Linked DNA regions of Xenopus tropicalis. The protein of the gene in region 1 purifies or fractionates together with the protein of each later gene. This does not show direct contact. Links are inferred from orthologs where the notes say so. Each region holds a gene or a part of one and is shown in the gene's direction. Other genes may lie near its edges.

Region 1 (6,167 bases):
GGAGGCTGGCAGGCATTGGGGAAGGGAAGGGAGGCTGGCAGGCATTGGGGAAGGGAAGGGAGGCTGGCAGGCATTGGGGAAGGGAAGGGAGGCTGGCAGGCATTGGGGAAGGGAAGGGAGGCTGGCAGGCATTGGGGAAGGGAAGGGAGGCTGGCAGGCATTGGGGAAGGGAAGGGAAGGGAGGCTGGCAGGCATTGGGGAAGGGAAGGGAAGGGAGGCTGGCAGGCATTGGGGAAGGGAAGGGAGGCTGGCAGGCATTGGGGAAGGGAAGGGAGGCTGGCAGGCATTGGGGAAGGGAAGGGAAGGGAGGCTGGCAGGCATTGGGGAAGGGAAGGGAAGGGAGGCTGGCAGGCATTGGGGAAGGGAAGGGAGGCTGGCAGGCAGGCAGCGGGGAAGGGAGGCTGGCAGGCAGGCAGCGGGGAAGGGAGGCTGGCAGGCAGGCAGCGGGGAAGGGAGGCTGGCAGGCAGGCAGCGGGGAAGGGAGGCTGGCAGGCAGGCAGCGGGGAAGGGAGGCTGGCAGGCAGGCAGCGGGGAAGGGAGGCTGGCAGGCAGGCAGCGGGGAAGGGAGGCTGGCAGGCAGGCAGCGGGGAAGGGAGGCTGGCAGGCAGAGGGGCAGGGAAGGGAGGCTGGCAGGCAGAGGGGCAGGGAAGGGAGGCTGGCAGGCATTGGGGAAGGGAAGGGAGGCTGGCAGGCATTGGGGAAGGGAAGGGAGGCTGGCAGGCATTGGGGAAGGGAAGGGAGGCTGGCAGGCAGAGGGGCAGGGAAGGGAGGCTGGCAGGCAGGCAGCGGGGAAGGGAGGCTGGCAGGCAGGCAGCGGGGAAGGGAGGCTGGCAGGCAGGCAGCGGGGAAGGGAGGCTGGCAGGCAGAGGGGCAGGGAAGGGAGGCTGGCAGGCAGAGGGGCAGGGAAGGGAGGCTGGCAGGCATTGGGGAAGGGAAGGGAGGCTGGCAGGCATTGGGGAAGGGAAGGGAGGCTGGCAGGCAGAGGGGCAGGGAAGGGAGGCTGGCAGGCAGGCAGCGGGGAAGGGAGGCTGGCAGGCAGGCAGCGGGGAAGGGAGGCTGGCAGGCAGGCAGCGGGGAAGGGAGGCTGGCAGGCAGAGGGGCAGGGAAGGGAGGCTGGCAGGCAGAGGGGCAGGGAAGGGAGGCTGGCAGGCATTGGGGAAGGGAAGGGAGGCTGGCAGGCATTGGGGAAGGGAAGGGAGGCTGGCAGGCATTGGGGAAGGGAAGGGAGGCTGGCAGGCATTGGGGAAGGGAAGGGAGGCTGGCAGGCAGAGGGGCAGGGAAGGGAGGCTGGCAGGCATTGGGGAAGGGAAGGGAGGCTGGCAGGCATTGGGGAAGGGAAGGGAGGCTGGCAGGCATTGGGGAAAGTATAGGACAAATAAGCGGAAGGTAACGCCATGGGGCAGGGATGTAAGAATGCACTGGAGTATGGCAGCAGTTTTGGGACAAATTGCAGGGAGGGGAGCAATAGGCCAGGATAAATGCACTGAAATGAGGGAGCAGGATGTAGGGAAAGGATGCCGGGAGTTGTAGGCTCTGTAGGCACTGGCACTGTGGCAGCCAAGAGCGGACGAGGCAGACAAAAGACCTGCTACTCGGGGGGCTCCGGTACTTACAGGGTGCTCTGGACTCCCCCGGTGTTGGCCTGGCTCAGAACCTGGGTGAGCGCTTTGGGCCGCAACATATTCCGCTCAGTGCTGCAGCCTAACCTGTCACAGGGCCGCGGTCACATGAGCAATCCCACAGCCCGCCTCCCCAGGAAGTAGGCGCTAGGTATGATGGGTAATGTAGTCCGGCGAGCTCAGAATGCCGTATCTCGTACAATATCCATATAAAAGCTTCACAGAATCCTTTCCACCCAAATGGATGTCCAAATAACTGCAGGGTTCCTTTATATAAATGTCCCGAACAAGACACTGGATTAGCTGTTGCCAAGGTAACGCTAGGCCGTGAAACGCAAATCCAATAAATTCAAATAGTTTGTAATTGGTCGTGTGGCGTGTTATTGTTCCGTATTTTCAAGCCTCGCCCTCATACTCTCGTTTCATTGGGTGAGCGTGTCACCTGATTTAGAACATGACGCAGCACAGCTGGAACCTCAGTGCCTGTGATTCGTCCTCCGTGCCGGTAGGTGTCACCATGCGGCGAAGAGGTAAGTAGAACGGTCGGCGCTTTGCCAGTCATAGGAAGCCTATAATCCTCTCTTCGCGGCTTTCCTCCTTCCTATTGCTCCTCCTCGGGGTGGGCGGGTGCAGAGAAGATGGCGGAGAGCGGCGCTGATGGTGCGGCCTCCGGTACTACCGGGCCGGCTCCGGGAAAAGGACTTATTCGTGTCACCGTCAAAACGCCCAAGGACAAGGAAGAGATTGTTATTGGGGAAACGGCGTGCGTGCTGGAGGTGAGGGGCGGCTAACCCCGCCATCCTGCCTGGGGAGAGAGGGGCCAGCCCCAGCCTGAGAGCAATGGTCCCTCTGATAGAGAGAGAGGGGGACAGTCTGATAGAGAGAGGGGGACAGTCTGATAGAGAGAGGGGGACAGTCTGATAGAGAGAGGGGGACAGTCTGATAGAGAGAGAGGGGGACAGTCTGATAGAGAGAGGGGGACAGTCTGATAGAGAGAGGGGGACAGTCTGATAGAGAGAGAGGGGGACAGTCTGATAGAGAGAGGGGGACAGTCTGATAGAGAGAGGGGGACAGTCTGATAGAGAGAGAGGGGGACAGTCTGATAGAGAGAGGGGGACAGTCTGATAGAGAGAGAGGGGAACAGTCTGATAGAGAGAGAGGGGAACAGTCTGATAGAGAGAGAGGGGAACAGTCTGATAGAGAGAGAGGGGGACAGTCTGAGAGAGAGAGGGGGACAGTCTGAGAGAGAGAGGGGGACAGTCTGAGAGAGAGAGGGGGACAGTCTGAGAGAGAGAGGGGGACAGTCTGAGAGAGAGAGGGGGACAGTCTGAGAGAGAGAGGGGGACAGTCTGAGAGAGAGAGGGGGACAGTCTGAGAGAGAGAGGGGGACAGTCTGATAGAGAGAGGGGAACAGTCTGATAGAGAGAGAGGGGGACAGTCTGATAGAGAGAGGGGGACAGTCTGATAGAGAGAATGGAACAGTCTGATAGAGAGAGGGGAACAGTCTGATAGAGAGAGAGGGGGACAGTCTGATAGAGAGAGGGGAACAGTCTGATAGAGAGAGGGGAACAGTCTGATAGAGAGAGGGGAACAGTCTGATAGAATGGAACAGTCTGATAGAGAGAGAGGGGGACAGTCTGATAGAGAGAATGGAACAGTCTGATAGAGAGAGGGGAACAGTCTGATAGAGAGAGAGGGGAACAGTCTGATAGAGAGAGGGGAACAGTCTGATAGAGAGAGGGGAACAGTCTGATAGAGAGAGGGGAACAGTCTGATAGAGAGAGGGGGACAGTCTGATAGAGAGAATGGAACAGTCTGATAGAGAGAGGGGAACAGTCTGATAGAGAGAGAGGGGGACAGTCTGATAGAGAGAGGGGAACAGTCTGATAGAGAGAGGGGAACAGTCTGATAGAGAGAGGGGAACAGTCTGATAGAGAGAGGGGAACAGTCTGATAGAATGGAACAGTCTGATAGAGAGAGAGGGGGACAGTCTGATAGAGAGAATGGAACAGTCTGATAGAGAGAGGGGAACAGTCTGATAGAGAGAATGGAACAGTCTGATAGAGAGAGGGGAACAGTCTGATAGAGAGAGGGGAACAGTCTGATAGAGAGAGGGGAACAGTCTGATAGAGAGAGGGGGACAGTCTGATAGAGAGAGAGGAACAGTCTGAGAGAGAGGGGGACAGTCTGAGAGAGAGAGAGGAACAGTCTGAGAGAGAGAGAGGAACAGTCTGAGAGAGAGGGGGACAGTCTGAGAGAGAGAGAGGAACAGTCTGAGAGAGAGAGAGGAACAGTCTGATAGAGAGAGGGGAACAGTCTGAGAGAGAGAGGGGAACAGTCTGAGAGAGAGAGGGGAACAGTCTGAGAGAGAGAGGGGAACAGTCTGAGAGAGAGAGGGGAACAGTCTGAGAGAGAGAGGGGAACAGTCTGATAGAGAGAGGGGAACAGTCTGATAGAGAGAGCAGTCCAGTCTGATAGAGAGAGAAGGGAACAGTCAGAGAGAAAGAACAGTGAAGTGAAAGGAGCTCAGACTGATAGAGAGAAGAACAGTCTGATAGAGTGAGAAGAGCGGTCTGATAGAGTGAGGAGATCGGTCTGATAGAGGGTGAAGATCGGTCTGATAGAGAAAAGGAAGATCAGTCTGATAGAGTGAGGAGCCCAGATTGATGGAGAGAAAGATACGGCTGAGTGATGGAAAAGCCCAGCCTGGAAGAGGAAGGGGGAACAGTCTGATAGAGAGACAAGAACAGGCAGAAAGAACAGTGAAGTGAAAGGAGCTCAGTCTGATAGAGAGAAGAACAGTCTGATAGAGAGAAGAACAGTCTGATAGAGAGAAGAACAGTCTGATAGAGAGAAGAACAGTCTGATAGAGAGAAGAACAGTCTGATAGAGAATGTGCAGATGAGTCAGAGGAGCCCAACCTGAAAGTGAAAGAGATCAGATTGGAATAAATGGGCCGGGGCCTGATGGAGAAAGGGATGATCAGTCTGGTAGAGTGAGGAGCCCAGAATGATGGAGAGACAGATATGGCTGAGTGATAGAGAAGCCCAGCCTGGAAGAGGAAGGGATGGGTGGACAAGCAGGCCAAGCTGAAAGTGAAAGGGGTGATCAGTCTGAAAGAGAGGCGACCCTGTCTGGTAGAGAAAGGGATGGGTTAGTGCAGGGATCCCCAACCTTTCTTACCCATGAGCCACAGTCAAATGTAAAAAGACTTGGGGAGCAACACAAGCACCATAAAAGTTCATGGAGGAGCCAAATAAGGGCTGTGATTGGCTATTAGGGGCCTCTATGCACCCTATCAGCTTACAGGGGGCTTTATTTGGTAGGAAATCTTGTTTTTATTCAACCAAAACTTGCCCCCAAGTCAGGAATTCAAAATAACTCCCTGGTTTGGGGGCACTGAGAGCAACACCCAAGGGGTTGGGTGGGGGGTGTTAGAGACAGGAGCCGAGTTTAATGGGAAAAAGGAAGATGAGTGCGAGACAGAGGGGAACTTAGGCTGATAGAGAAAGAGAGGGGCCAGTCTGATAGAGGATGATGAATTTTAGAGGAGTTCTCCCTCCAACTAAAGTAATGGAGCTGAGAGTGAGAGGGATGTGGCAATGCTGGCTGGAGAGTGACATCTTAGCTTGGCTGAGGGAAATGACTCTCACAGGAAGTACTGACACATTTAGGTAAAATATTGCCAGAAAGGGAACCAGCTGCATGGACAGGAGTGGGGCGGAGCTTGAGAGAGTGGAAGTTGAAGTGGGTGAATAAAGCAACCAATGGTAGTGACCGATCAGCCTGTAACTGTGATGAAGCCTAACGGGCTCATCCTGATAGTGGGTTCCATGGAGAGTATCTACAGATATAGAGATGGAGCTTAGTGGCAGAGATGCTGGTAATTAAGCTCTGCAGGAAGGTGTATGGGGAGGTGGAGCACAGCTGGAAGGAATGGAACATGGTATCCAACATGAGAGGAGATGGATACACTGGCTACTCTGTGTTTGGGAGATACAGGGGGACCCACGCTAAGGGCTTGTGATGGTGGGTCTCCCCCTGCTTGAGAGGGATTTAGCCTCAGCAACACAACCTGAGCTCAGGCTGAGGGTAAATGGTAGCGATGGAGCTCATCTCTTGAAGAGGTGGAGCTTAGGCTGAGAGAAGAAGATGGAGCTCATTGTGAGAACAAACATGGGGCTTAGCTTGAAAGTGCAAGGGGATGAATGAAGTCAATGTTATGTAGAGATAAGATCTTCTGGAGAGAAATGAAGCTCAGCTTGGGCCAGCATGAGTGTGAGTGATAGACTGAGTGTGAGTGGGAAGCAGTGCAGGGAGACTGATAGGTGGTTCCCTGCCAGAGATTGCACTGGGATGTGTAAGGGGATCAGTATGGCAGCTTCCGCCCATCAGTGTAACTATACCCAGAGGAGAGGGAAGGAATGTGCAGCACTAAGGGAGACAATAAGTCTGCTCTTACTGTGTGTGTGAGTAAGTACAAATGCCCCACTGTGTAGGGAGACCCATTTCTGACTACAGACCTACAGAGAAGAAATGTTCTGTGCC
Region 2 (4,969 bases), on another chromosome or scaffold:
TCCAATTAATGGACAGAGTTCTGCCTTCTGCTTAAACACTTCTTCCTGTTCCTGTTACAGTTAGAGCTGCATTATTTCCTGTCATGTGATCCCTGAGAAAGCACACAGCCCATTACTTAACATAATATAAACTATCTGTTGGTTAAGTATTCATTCTGGGGTATAGTTTTCCTCTAACTCTTGCAAGTGCACAAATGAGCAAGCACGTTCTTAGCAATTCCTTTAACTGATGTTAATAATGTATTAAAACACTTTTTGGATAATTTGAAAAACTTTCCAAAGAAGAGATTTGCATAATATAATAACAATATTGTTGTTACATAAAAGTCAATCATAAATTAAACTAATAAGTTTATGATTGCACTACATAAGAGTAGCAGGCCTAGGGCAGTGTCGGACTGGGGTGCCAAGGGCCCACCAGAAAACCTTAGACCTTAGGCCCACTCTCCCCTTCTCTGTATATTCACTTTCTTTAATCTCTTAATTACTTCTTTTTACATACTATTATCTATCCTTTCCCCCATTTCTTTAGTTTCTTCTCATATAGAATTGAGTAATGGCCATGGTATAGGGATACAAGGCAAATGGTAGGGTGAGCAGGAGGGCCCACTGACACCTGGGCCCACCGGGAGTTTTCCTGGTATCCTGGGGGGCCAGTCCGACACTGGCCTAGGGTAAACACTTGGTTATACACTGAAGGTTGTACACTTAAATAACGTATACAACCTTCAGAAACTCTTCCATTGATTCCCAAAGCTTTCCAACACTGGTATCCAAACTGAATGGCAGAAGCCAAAGTATTATGCAATAAATAAGAGCCCTGCTTAATAGCACTACCTAATTAACATTGTTGTTTTCTAAAACAGGGAGTTTATTGTGAGATTTTACTTTGCCTATATTATACTATACTATCAAATGTCAGTAGGTTGAAGGTTAGAAAAGAGGGTGCAGCATTGCATATAGTAGGGCACTGCCTCCAGAGAAGGCAACATTTTTAACAGCATTGCTTATGTTGCTGAACTGCATGCTTTAACCTTTAATAATTTGTTAAAGTATACTGGGGTTATAGTCTACCAAAATTTAAGTTAAGTTTGGGTGAGCAACACTGTTTGCATCTCATTTTAAAGGTGAACAAAACATTGTTGCTCAACTATACTTTAGTCAGTGGTTGCTGAACTGAACCCAGCATACTTTACCATATTGTTAAGGGTTAAAGCATGCTGGGAGATGTAGCTGAGCAAAATTAGGGTTGTGACCTGTGTATTATAAGCTTCCTTGTTTCTATTTGAAATTGAAAAGCTTAAACACAGTTTTCAGTAAATAAATATATCTTCCGACATTACGTTTGCATACAGTGTAACATAGGAAAGCCAAAATGTAAGATAACAACAAGATGGTTGATCTTTAAGATTTTGGCCTTAAGGCTTTATATCATCGTTAAGTGCCAGAACCACACAAAATAAAGTCTTGTAAAATATAAATGATCTTCTTTCTTTGCAGTACCTCAACACCTTTCTTTTTATGCTTTTACTTCCTTCTTTGTATGTCCATTTTTATACCATGTTCATCTCTGCCACTCCTCTTTGCAACTCTTCTTTTTCAATTTATTTTTTCTTTTCATAACTTTTAATGCTATGTATATATTTCTCTCTTACATTCTTTCATTACTCGAACAAAAAAATAAATAACAATCTCTATATTTTGCATTTTTCATGCATTCTTCATATCTATGAGTTCCTTCTGTGGTAAAAGTATTATGATATAAAAAATAGGAATTATAACTTTATGGTACTCTGTACAAGTATATTAGAGGAGATTATAGGCAGATAGGGAATGTTCTTTTTTTCCCACAAAAACAACCAGCACACCAGAGGCCACCCCTTTAGAGGAACGGAGCTTCCATTTAAAGCAGGGTAGGTGGTTTGTTCAAGTGAGGTAGTGGAATGCCCTTCCTAGTGATGTTGTAATGGCAGATTCTGTTAATGCCTTTAAGAGGGGCCTGGATGAGTTCTTGAATAAGCATAGTATCCAAGGCTATTGTGATACTAAATTGGTGTTGGTATATATGGTTTATGTATGTGAGTATATAGATAGGTAAGTATAGGTTTATGTGTGCTGGGGTTTACTTGGAAGGGTTGAACTTGATAAACTCTTGATGGTGTTTTTTCAACCCAATGTAACTATATATATGGTCATTTTTCACAAAACACCATAACTTTTACTCAATTACTTGCTTAGAGTGTAATGAACATTGCCTAAATATTGCCTAAAAATATTAAGAACATTCAATCATTCAGTAGCTTGCAATGTAAGAAGTTGTTCCACAGTTACTCTCTAATGATATTACTTTTATTTATAATACTGATGTGTACTTTTTTGGGATTTTAGGTAACCACTTTTGAGCATGGGTGACTGGAGTGCCTTAGGAAGACTTCTTGACAAAGTTCAAGCCTATTCGACTGCAGGAGGGAAGGTGTGGCTGTCTGTCCTATTTATATTTCGAATCCTTTTATTAGGGACAGCAGTGGAGTCAGCCTGGGGAGATGAACAATCAGCATTTGTCTGCAATACTCAACAACCAGGTTGTGAAAATGTTTGCTATGATAAGTCATTCCCGATCTCTCATGTGCGTTTCTGGGTACTTCAAATCATATTTGTCTCAACGCCTACCCTCCTTTATTTAGCCCATGTGTTTTACTTGATGAGAAAAGAAGAGAAGCTAAACAGGAAAGAAGAAGAACTTAAAATGGTTCAGAATGAAGGTGGTAATGTAGACATGCACCTTAAACAAATTGAAATAAAGAAATTCAAATATGGCCTTGAAGAGCATGGAAAAGTTAAGATGCGAGGTGGACTTCTTCGCACTTACATCATCAGCATTTTGTTTAAATCAGTCTTTGAAGTTGGCTTTATTTTCATTCAATGGTACATGTATGGGTTTAGCTTAAGTGCCATCTACACATGCAAAAGAGATCCTTGCCCACATCAAGTGGACTGTTTCCTTTCTCGACCCACAGAGAAGACCATTTTTATCTGGTTCATGTTAATAGTTTCTATAGTTTCTCTTGCCCTAAATATCATCGAGCTGTTCTATGTCACCTACAAAAGTATCAAAGATGGCATCAAGGGGAAAAAAGACCCATATTCTGCCACAAATGATTCTGTGGTTCCAGGAAAGGAATGTGGCTCCCCTAAATATGCTTATTTTAATGGCTGTTCTTCTCCAACTGCTCCCATGTCTCCACCTGGTTACAAACTTGTTACTGGAGAAAGAAATCCTTCTTCTTGTCGCAATTATAACAAGCAAGCAAGTGAACAAAACTGGGCCAATTACAGTGCAGAACAAAACAGGATGGGGCAGGCTGGAAGCACAATTTCTAACACTCATGCACAGCCTTTTGATTTTTCGGATGAACATCAGAATACTAAGAAAATGGCACCAGGACATGAGATGCAGCCCCTGACTATATTGGACCAAAGACCATCTAGTAGAGCAAGCAGTCATGCAAGTAGCAGACCTCGACCTGATGATTTAGAGATCTAATCAATCTTGATGTATTACCAGAAGGCACATTTTAAGAGTGGAGGTGGTACTAAATTCTCTCAAATGAGATTTAACAAACTTTTTTGATGAACTTTTATATGGCGAGGGAAAATCGCTTTGATATTTAAGTAGCTCATACAAATTTTACAGTCTTAAATGACTCATACAATATTTTTTTAGAATGTATGTCTAAGACAACATATGTGTTTTCAATTCACCCAAAAAGTGAAATATTTGATGTGAGCAATGTTGTTTTACGACTAGTGTCAGCCTTCTATGAGATGAGAGATTTCTTACAATGATTTTATAAATAACTTAAACAATAGCTTGACTGTTAGGAACTTTTTAGAATGAATTCTGGAGAAAGACACCTGGATGTTTTCTCAAGATGACTAGCATTTTTCCTTGCCCCTTCTCTTTTTCTGGTTAAGAAAATTATGCTTATGTAATTGAATTGCTTGATCATATGCCTTCTTAAAAGCAGCACTATTATTCCGCAACAAGCCTAGTCAATCCTTTCTGAATGGCCCAGACATTCAATAGGGGATGTCAAATCCCAGATACTACAGTGATTAACTAAGATGACAATTAATTATAAAAATGAAAAACTACTTAATTCCATAAGGATCATGTTTTAAAAGAACCAAATGTAACTATAGGGTCATCTTTCCCACCAGATCCTTATAACATTCCAACAACAGCATTATTTGTGTGGGACTATTAGAAATTATTGCGAAATCTCCTATATTATATTAATATTTTCCCTATGTCTATTTGTGGAATAATATCATAGTAAAGGCTCCTTAAATGTGAAACCCATTTTAATTCTGAAGTAGGACCTTAGTGGTAAACTATTCGGCAACCCAACTGGTAGAAGCACCTTTTGAACTGCTTACATTTTTTTTGCTGGTGCAATATTGAATAATATTTTATGATGCTGTATGTATATGTGTGTGTTAAGGGTTGGGGTTGCTTGAAGTTTGGTTCTCAAGCATGGCAGTCAATATGGGTCTGACAAATTAATCATCATTTTGAGCTGAAGTATGCAGTGAATCAGAAGAAGATGTTAGTCAAAGGCATATGTCTCATGAAATGCCTTTATAGTATAGCCATGTTCTAGTGGTGTCCTCAATCATGAAGCATGATAAAGCCTACAAACCACGTTTCTGTGGCTAATTTCTGGTAAGATACATTTGTAACGTGTAGTTCAAGGAACTGAGGTAAATATTTCTGGAATAACATGCAGGGAATTAACATGTCATTTTGCCAGCCAGTTCCCTATTATATATATATTTTTTTTATCGTTGTAACAATTTAAGAGCCCAGAATATAGTATGCATTTTAATCTACAGGAAATATGTTTCAAGATGTTTCTGAAATAACAGTGATGTGAAAAAAGTAATAATGCATTTGTTAAAGAAGTTG

The links. The genes of interacting proteins can lie anywhere in the genome.
Region 2: the proteins of ubqln4 (region 1) and gja1 purify together in Homo sapiens (affinity purification with western blotting; 3 studies listed by BioGRID). This does not show direct contact. The link is inferred for Xenopus tropicalis from reciprocal best matches to the Homo sapiens genes UBQLN4 and GJA1.

The regions. Positions count from the first base shown.
Region 1 is NC_030684.2:133,264,752-133,270,918, reverse strand, and holds the start of ubqln4 (ubiquilin-4), read left to right. Parts: upstream 1-2,232; 5' UTR 2,233-2,257; coding exon 2,258-2,395; intron 2,396-6,167. UniProt on the Homo sapiens protein: Regulator of protein degradation that mediates the proteasomal targeting of misfolded, mislocalized or accumulated proteins.
Region 2 is NC_030681.2:72,393,669-72,398,637, reverse strand, and holds gja1 (gap junction alpha-1 protein), read left to right. Parts: upstream 1-2,404; coding exon 2,405-3,544; downstream 3,545-4,969. UniProt on the Homo sapiens protein: Gap junction protein that acts as a regulator of bladder capacity. A gap junction consists of a cluster of closely packed pairs of transmembrane channels, the connexons, through which materials of low MW diffuse from one cell to a neighboring cell.